Ovis aries: one gene and its partner. Each later gene encodes a partner of the first gene's protein in a complex. Links are inferred from orthologs where the notes say so. Each region holds a gene or a part of one and is shown on either strand. Other genes may lie near its edges.

Region 1 (4,411 bases):
AACCCTGGCCCAGCCTCATCTGCCTGCACCCTTCACTTTGGCCTCTTCAGGCAGCCATTCTCAACAGAGCAAGTATTTCCCCAGAGGAACACTCTGGAAACTTGCTGGGGGCACTTCTGATTTCCACAACCATTTGGAGCAGCGTTATTGGGTTTCCATGAGTGCGGGCCAGACATGCCAGATATACTGGAAACGCACAGACCTGTCCCCCACAATGAAGTGGCGTCACGTGACTGCAATGTCCCGCCGCAAGTCCACGTGGATGGAACATTTGAAAACCCATTAATAAATGATCTGAGCCCAGACTCTCACAGGGCCACAGGTATTTTAGCTCAGCTAAAAACACCATCCCCCCCACCACCACCAATTTTTAATTCCCAAGGAATTGCCTATGAAAATAAATCAGAGGAAGATTTGTATGTTGTTTTGGAGGAACTGAACGTGACTCACCATTGCAGAAAGCCGCATCGCTGGTAGTGACCGTGGCTGCGGCGTGGAAGGGCCAATATGACAGGTGCGCAGCAGAGAGTGCTCCCACCTGGTCCCGCATCTGACAGTATCGCTGCCGCTTCTAGGGTAGTCACGGCAGAGCATAATTAAAGAAACGTTATCTTCTCACAGTTTCCTTTTCCCCTCCATATTATAAAGCATTATTATTATTTTTTAAATGTTGTGGGTAGATTCTATTAACTACAAATTTCACTTCAGAGTAGTAAAGGGCACATAAAATATTTATATTATCAAAAAGAGTCCAACAGTCTAACAGTCTAACAGTTTGAGGATTTTAGTCTTAGAAGTCCATTGACCTGGTGAAGCAGAGAATTAACCTTGAAATAGGCTCTTTATGGCTGGTGGTGATTAAAGGGTCTGTCTCTCCCACTGCGGGGGGTGGGGAGGGCACGGGGGGCTTCTCAGGTGGCACAGTGGTAAAGAATCTGCCTGCCAGTGCAGGATATGGAACAGACGTGGGTTCCGTCCCTGGGTAGGGAAGGTCCCTTGGAGAAGGAAATGGTAACCCATTCCAGTATTCTTGCCTGGAGAATCCCCATGGACGGAGGAGGCTGGTGGGCTACAATCCATGGGGTCACAAAGAGTTGGACACAACTTAGCAACTAAACAACGACAGCTCTCCCAGTGGACTGAAAAGTTCCCTGGGAGGTGCTGGGGGCAGGCCTTATTCATTTCTGCCTTCCCTCCTCACACGGAGCCCAGCTTTGAGTTGGGGACCCAGGAGGCCTCCATGGGATCCAGCCCTTCCTTCCTGCGAGGTGTTCAGCACCTGCAGCAACTATGTCCCACGAGGAGCTGGATCTCACTAGGGTGCTGCCTGGGTTGAGAAGCAGAGGCTCTCATGGAGGAATTGCCCGAGTCAGGAGTGCAGGATTACAGGGGATTATGGGAAGCTTTTCTCTGCATCTTGGCTTTCCCAGAAACACCACCATCTCCAAGCAGAATGTTAATCAGTAACAGCCCCCCGGGGGCAAGGGGGTCACACTTTGGAATAGCAAATATTTACTGCAGGCTTCCAGCTACAAGCCCTAACCTTCTGTCTTTGCCCTGAATGAAGGACCTTCCCAGGCACCAGGTGGCCTCTCACTGGTAAGAACAGTGGATCAAAGGGAGGCTTCACAGTGTCTGCCTAATGAAGAATAGGGAGAGAAGACCTGTCCTCTCTGGGTGGGTTCCCAGGGGAGGGGGTGGCAACCTGGGCAGCGCTGATCCCTCATTCCTGGACTGGATGGGGCGGGCAAGGAGGTGGGGGTGGTAAGAGGCTTGTTGTAGACACAGGAGGCTTCTTCCGCAGAGAGGAGGCCAGTGGAAGAGGCTTTGAAGGCTTGAGATGTCATGCCCACAACACTCCATGCAAGCCCCACATAGCTCCCTGGCCTTCTTCTCAGAGACCTGTCTGCCCGAGCAAGTGAGTTCCTGCTGCTTCCAGATTTGGGGGTGGGTTTGCAGCTCCAGGTACATTCAGGGCTGAGAAGTGGTGTGTGAGTGGTGGGTTTATTACTACTCAGGTTCTAGAGTGCCATATCTCTGTGTCATCCTTAAAAAAAAGTCTTTTAATTTTTTTTATTTATTTATTTTTGGCTGTGCTGGGTCTTCATTGCTGCACGGATTTTTGTCTAGCTGTGGCAACCAGGGGCTACTCTCGAGTTTGCAGTCCATGGATATCTCATTGCAGTGGCTTCTCATGCGGGGTACGGGCTCCAGATGGGCAGGCTTCAGTAGTTGCAGTACGTGGGCTCAGTAGCTGTGGCTCATGGGCTTTGCTCCATGGCATATGGGATCTTCCCAGAGCAGGGATTGAACCCATGTCTCCTGCATTGGGAGGCGGATTCTTTACCACTGAGCCACCTGGGAAGCCCCTTAGAAAGTGAAAGTGTTAGTCACTCAGTTGTGTCTGACTCTTTGCAACCCCATGGACTGTAGCCTGCCAGGCTCCTCGATTCATGGGATTCTCCAGGCAAGAATACTGGAGTGAGTAGCCATTTTCTTCTCCAGGGGATCTTCCTGACCCAGGCATTGAACCTGGGTCTCCCACACTGCAGGCCGATTCTTTACCATCTGAGCCACCCGGGAAGCCCCTTAAACAAAATTAATGGCAATTACAATGAAGTGAAGATGAACAGGTTCAGGAATAGCAGAGGACTTGCAATTTGGGACAAACTGGCAAACCATAGACAATTCTCAGAGAGACAAAGGCAGGCTGGCTTTTCTTAGCTTCTGGGAGGAAGCTGGGGAGGGTTGCTTTGAACAAAAGCTCATTGGAGGAGAATGAGAGTTCAGAGTTATGGCAATTTCTTGTCGGAACCAAGTGGTGGGTAGTTTGCTGTTACTAAGGTATGTGGAACTCTTCTTCCTGCTGATCATGAATACTGAGATGAGTGGGAATGTGTGAGAACCCACCCTGCCATCTCCTTCTTCAGGGGTATCTTCACAACCCAGGGATCAAACCAGCATCTCCTACATTGGCAGGCAGATTCTTTACTACTAGCACCAGTCTGTGGAAACCATCACAGACAGAAGTGACTCTGAATTTGAGAGTATCGCTGTGGGATTAATTTACAAAGGGGTACTAAAGCCTGTGATATAATGAAGGCATGAATCTGGGTACATTTGGTACACTCCAGCAGGTCTTTACCCAGCACATTTAATGCTGGAGTTACCTTTAGAGTGCAGGCTTGCCATTTAGAACTGGGCAAAGCTTCCTAAGTGCTCACAGAAAACAGAGGAGTATTTCGCTGAGTAAGGTCATGCCACTCAAGCAATGGAAAGAACGAGGCCCTGGATCCTATGACACTGTTTAGCAAAAGCCAAAGCAATGTGCTAAGTCCCGGAGCCAGGGTTCATCTTGTAGCCGGCCCAGCGAGGACACAGGCCTCTGCGTCCACAAGAGGCCGGGGAACCTCACCCCGCCAGCACATTTTGCTTCAGGTGGCCTGGCTGAGTGAAGGTCTCTGCTGATAGAAACTCTGTGAGGCCTGTGGCCTCCCTTGGCCTGTGTGTCCTGCGCTGAGTGGTCCTGCCCCACCCAAGCCCTCCTGGGGCAGTGGGTTCAGAAGAGAGCGAGGGTGCATCTCAGTGACCTTCCAAGCCAGCCTCTGGTGGTGTCAACACCAGGAGCCCCGTGTGGCCCATGGGGGTTTATTCAGATGGAAACTCCAGGTGATCGGGAGCTAGGCTCTGTGCCCAAGGATGAGAGGGAGGCCAGAGAGGGGGCAGTGGTGGGGAGTGTGGTGTATGGAGACCCACTGCCCAAGCTGGAGGGCTGGCTCCGCTAGAACAGGCAGCCTCAGAGTGGGCGAGAGGACGCACTTCACAGGTTGAGGGTTAGGTGAGACAGTCCAAGCAGAGTTTAGCCCGGGCCCGAGTGGTTTGAATTGGCTCATCATCCGTTCCTATCCTGGGGGGCTCTGGAGAGAGTGAAGGCAGGAAGTCCTGAGAGGAGCTCTGTGACTGGGTCCCAGGGCTGGGCCGAGCGCTGTAGGGGAGGCACGGGGGGTTTATTGCAGAATCAGGCAAACTCAGCATTCATCCTTGCCCCATGGCCCCCCAGACCCTCTAAGTCCCCAGCCAAAGGCCAAGGTCCAAGTCCCCACAGCCCAGCTTGAACAGGCTGCCCTATTGCCCAGCGATCCAGGGCAGCGAATGAAGCAAGTAGACAGGGAAAGCTCTGGGAAGATCTCCCAATTCCCGGCGCTGCTGTGACCAGCACCCAGTGAGGCCGAGGACCCACACCGCATTCCCTCACATCCCCTCCCTTCTTGGCTGCCTGCCATTCTCCTGGGAGGAACTGGGATGGGTGAGGACAGCTGGGGCAGCCTGATCCCTGATGGAAACGAGAGGAGGTTTCTCTCCATGAAATAAGGTATCTCCCCTCCCACCGACTCAGGTAACAAATGTGACC
Region 2 (3,802 bases), on another chromosome or scaffold:
TACATATATATATATATATATATATATATATATATATATATTTTTAGGGGGCTTCCCTCATAGCTCAGTAAAGAATCTTCCTGCAGTGCAGGAGACCTGGGTTTGATCCCTGGGTTGCAAAGATCCCCTGGAGAAGGGAATGGCAACCCACTCCAGCATTCTGGCCTGGAGAATCCCATGGACAGAGGAGCCTGGCGGACTGCAGTCCATGGGGTCCCAGAGTCGGACGCAACTTAGCGATCAAACCACCACACACATATCTTAGGGTCCATTTATTTACCCGCTTCTTTTCGGCTATGGCGGGTCGTCACGGCTGCAGGCTTTCTCTCTTGTGGCAGGCGGGCCCCCTCTCCCTTGTGGTGCTCAGGCTTCTCGTCGCGTTGGCTCCTCTGGAGGAGCGCAGCTCTGGGCTCATGGACTCAGCAGTTGCGGCCCAAGGGCGCTAGAGCTCTGGCTCAGTAGCTGGGCACGAAGGCTTAGGTGCTCCGAGGCGCGTGGGATCTTCCTGGGCCAGGGATGGAGCCTGTGTCCTTTGCATCGGCCGGCAGACTCTTTACTGTGGGACCAGGGAAGCCTCTCTCTAATATATTTTTTAACTGCTTTAAAATATATTTTCTTGGATGCCCATGTATAAGAAAACTCCTCTGAAACAGACCATCTTTCATAGAACTGGGAGAAGTGAAAAGTTCCTGGTGGAAGAAAAGCTGGGCTTGCGCCCTGAGGCTGCAAGCCCACTCGAGCTGTTGGGAGCTGGGGACGGTGTGTGGCTCATGCGCTTACCTCCAGGCTTTAAGCCTGAGGGGTCTCCCACCTTTAGCTGCCCTGCCCGAACACAACGCCTCCCATACGCAATTTACAAACTTCCATCATTGCTGAACTGGCTTATAAAACAGGAAAAGGGGTGGGAATTTCTCACATCTGCATCCGGCACGCTGCGGAGTGGGGTCCTGGAGACCACCAGGACGGGAGGCGCCCGGGAGGCCGTGGGATCTGTGCTGCGTCTCAGCTACTGACACTCTCCCTTCCTCAAGTGGGTCACAGCAAATACACACCAAACAGGACGCAGAGCACGCGTTGGGGTGGCTGTTCAGTCCCACAGTCCTGTCCGACTCTTGCGACTCAATGGACTGCAGCCCGCCAGGCTCCTCTGGCCTCGGGATTTCCCAGCAAGAATATTGGAGATGGTTGCCATGCTCTCCTCCAGGGATCTTCCTGACCCAGGGATTAAGCCTGCCTCTCCCGCACTGCAGGCGATTCTCTACCACTGAGCCACCTGAGAAGCCCAGGACATATATTCAGTTCAGTTCAGTCGCTCAGTCATGTCCGACTCTTTGCGACCCCATGAATCGCAGCATGCCAGGCCTCCCTGTCCATCACCATCTCCCGGAGTCACGCATTAAAGAGGGCATTAAGTAGGTGTAGCTTCCCTGGTGGCTCAGCTGGTTAAAGAGTCTGCCTGCAAAGGGGGAGACCCGGGTTCAATCCCTGGGTTGGGAAGTTCCCCTGGAAAAGGAATGGCAACCCACTCCAGTGTTGTTGCTTAGAGAATCCCATGGAGGGAGGAGCCTACCAGACTACAGTCCATGGGGTCACAAAGAGTCGGACACGACTACGCGACTTCGCTTCACTTAAGTGAAGCAGATGTAGAGAATTTCACATTCTCGTTTCAACCAGCATTTTCCTACTAAGTGAACAGAGTCAGCATTTTCTCACCTTCAAGCTCAGCTGCAGGAGAAGGTGGGAGAACAGGTGTTTGATTTCTAACACTCTGATGTTAACTCGGACAGGATGAATTCTGGAAGACATACATGGGTGAGTGTCCCCTCCACCCCGCCTGCCACCTCCTCTGCTTTTTGCTTTGATGGGAGGAGGCATCAACCCCGCTCTCCAGGGCTGAGAACTCGAGGCCAGAGGATTCCCAGTGTCCAGCCTTGGGCTCCTGGACTTTGACCCAAAGGAAGGGCGCCGGGCCGCGGGATGAGGGGGAAGCTCGCCCACCCCCCAGCTCCCATGGGCCTCGTGCTGATGGCCAGAGCCGTTAAGCTGCGGAAGGCAAGGCTTGCGGGTGCTGTTTGGGGACCACGGTGCCCGGGGGTCTCCAGGAGGCCTCTCGGCAAGGAGATGGATCCTAGAGGGGCAGGCGGGCAGGCTGAGCCAGGGGCGTCAGGGGGTCACCCGTGAGGGGCGTCCTCTCTGCAGGCGGCTCCCCATGTGCCTCCCAGCCTTGCCTCAACAACGGGTCCTGCCAGAACAGCATCCGCGGCTACACGTGCACCTGCGCGCCGGGCTATGAGGGCCCCAACTGTGCCTTTGGTGAGCCCCGCCCCTCCCCGGGAGCCCCGCCCCTCCCCGGGACCCCCGCCCCTCCCCGGGACCCCCGCCCCTTCCCCGGACCCGCGATCCTCCCCTGGATCCTCGCCTCTCCCCGGGAGCCCCGCCCCTCCCCCGGGACCCCCGCCCCTCCCCGGGACCCCCGCCCCTCCCCGGGACCCCCGCCCCTCCCCCGGGACCCCCGCCCCTCCCCGGGACCCCCGCCCCTTCCCCGGACCCGCGATCCTCCCCTGGATCCTCGCCTCTCCCCGGGAGCCCCGCCCCTCCCCCGGGACCCCCGCCCCTTCCCCGGACCCGCGATCCTCCCCTGGATCCTCGCCTCTCCCCGGGACCCCCGCCCCTCCCCGGGACCCCCGCCCCTTCCCCAAGGGCCCAGCTCCCTGGGTCATGGGTGCGAGACCGTCCTCAGCTTCATCACCTGGTGTCCCTTCAATGTTGCGGGTTGGGGTGGCGGGGAGCGGGGGTCAAAGCAGCCAGAGACCCCTCCATGCAGAAGTGAACTCCGCTCTCGATGTTACGGAACCTGCTCCACCGGCCTCCCTGAGAGCTCAACCGGGTGCTGGAAGGACACCCCAAGTGCAGCGCGCCGAGCAGGGGTTCCAGCTTCACCCCACATGCGTCCCCTCCCCGTCCCGACCCCCACCTCGAAGAAGCCCCTTAAGATGTCCGGCTGCTGTGGCGGGAAGTGAGCCCACAGAGGGGCCAGGAGGATCCTTGTGAGGGGCGCGCGGGGCTCCACGCCCGTTCGTTCCTGACCCGGAATGGAAGTGCTCACGTGAGCGTGTTTGGAATGAAAGGCCAGAGCCCCATGCTCAAGGATAGCTGTTCAGTTCAGCTCAGTCGCTCAGTCGTGTCCGGCTCTTTCAACCCCATGGACTGCGGCACGCCAGGCCTCCCTGTCCATCACCATCTCCCGGAGCTCACTCAAACTCATCCATTGAGTCAGTGATGCCATCCAACCATCTCATCCTCTGTCGTCCCCTTCTCCTCCCACCCTCAATCTTTCCCAGCATTGGGGTCTTTTCAGATGAGTCAGTTCTTCCCATCAGGTGGCCAGAGTATTGGAGTTTCAGCTTCAGCATCAGCCCTTCCAATGAATATTCAGGACTGATTTCCTTTAGGATGGATTGAAAAGGATACTTCAGAATGGCTGTTTCCGGGGTAACATTTCTGTTTTCCCCATTTTCTTTTTTAGCTAAAAACGAATGCCACCCTCTGAGGCTGGACGGGTGCCAACACTTCTGCTACCCGGGACCAGAGTCCTACACGTGCAGCTGCGCGAGGGGCCACACGCTGGGCCAAGACCGCAGGTCCTGCCTCCCCCACGGTGAGTCTCCCCCCGGCCTTCCTCTGCAGCGACTCTGAAAGCCCACCTCCCCTGCTGTGGCTGGTCAGGGCTGGGGGAGCGGGCTTCCCAGCCCTCGCCAGGCTCCCTACCCGCCCCCCACCCACCATCTCTGAGAGCAGGTAT

Evidence for each region.
Region 2: the proteins of SERPINA10 (region 1) and PROZ are in contact, whole or in part, in a crystal structure (PDB 3H5C), measured with the Homo sapiens proteins. The link is inferred for Ovis aries from reciprocal best matches to the Homo sapiens genes SERPINA10 and PROZ. Residues at the interface, in NP_001094077.1 of Homo sapiens: Arg88, Lys89, Ser91, Met92, His94, Asp95, His257, Asp259, Lys260, Tyr261, Asn282, Phe283, Lys305, Met306, Asp308, His309, Leu310, Ala311, Leu312, Asp314, Tyr315, Leu316; in NP_003882.1 of Homo sapiens: Cys129, Pro131, Cys141, Leu142, Pro143, Ser151, His250, Met251, Arg252, Asp254, Ala257, Glu259, Asn260, Glu284, Lys285, Asp286, Phe287, His290, Leu291, Thr336, Thr337, Arg338, Arg390, Ser392, Leu393, Trp394, Gln397.

Annotation. Positions count from the first base shown.
Region 1 is NC_056071.1:56,759,803-56,764,213, reverse strand, and holds the start of SERPINA10 (protein Z-dependent protease inhibitor), read left to right. Parts: upstream 1-1,538; 5' UTR 1,539-1,599; intron 1,600-1,804; 5' UTR 1,805-1,918; intron 1,919-4,411. UniProt on the Homo sapiens protein: Inhibits activity of the coagulation protease factor Xa in the presence of PROZ, calcium and phospholipids. Also inhibits factor XIa in the absence of cofactors.
Region 2 is NC_056063.1:85,860,016-85,863,817, forward strand, and holds part of PROZ (vitamin K-dependent protein Z), read left to right. Parts: intron 1-280; exon of another isoform or gene 281-1,273; intron 1,274-1,713; exon of another isoform or gene 1,714-1,787; coding exon 1,788-1,812; intron 1,813-2,199; coding exon 2,200-2,313; intron 2,314-2,749; exon of another isoform or gene 2,750-3,446; intron 3,447-3,526; coding exon 3,527-3,658; intron 3,659-3,802. UniProt on the Homo sapiens protein: Appears to assist hemostasis by binding thrombin and promoting its association with phospholipid vesicles. Inhibits activity of the coagulation protease factor Xa in the presence of SERPINA10, calcium and phospholipids.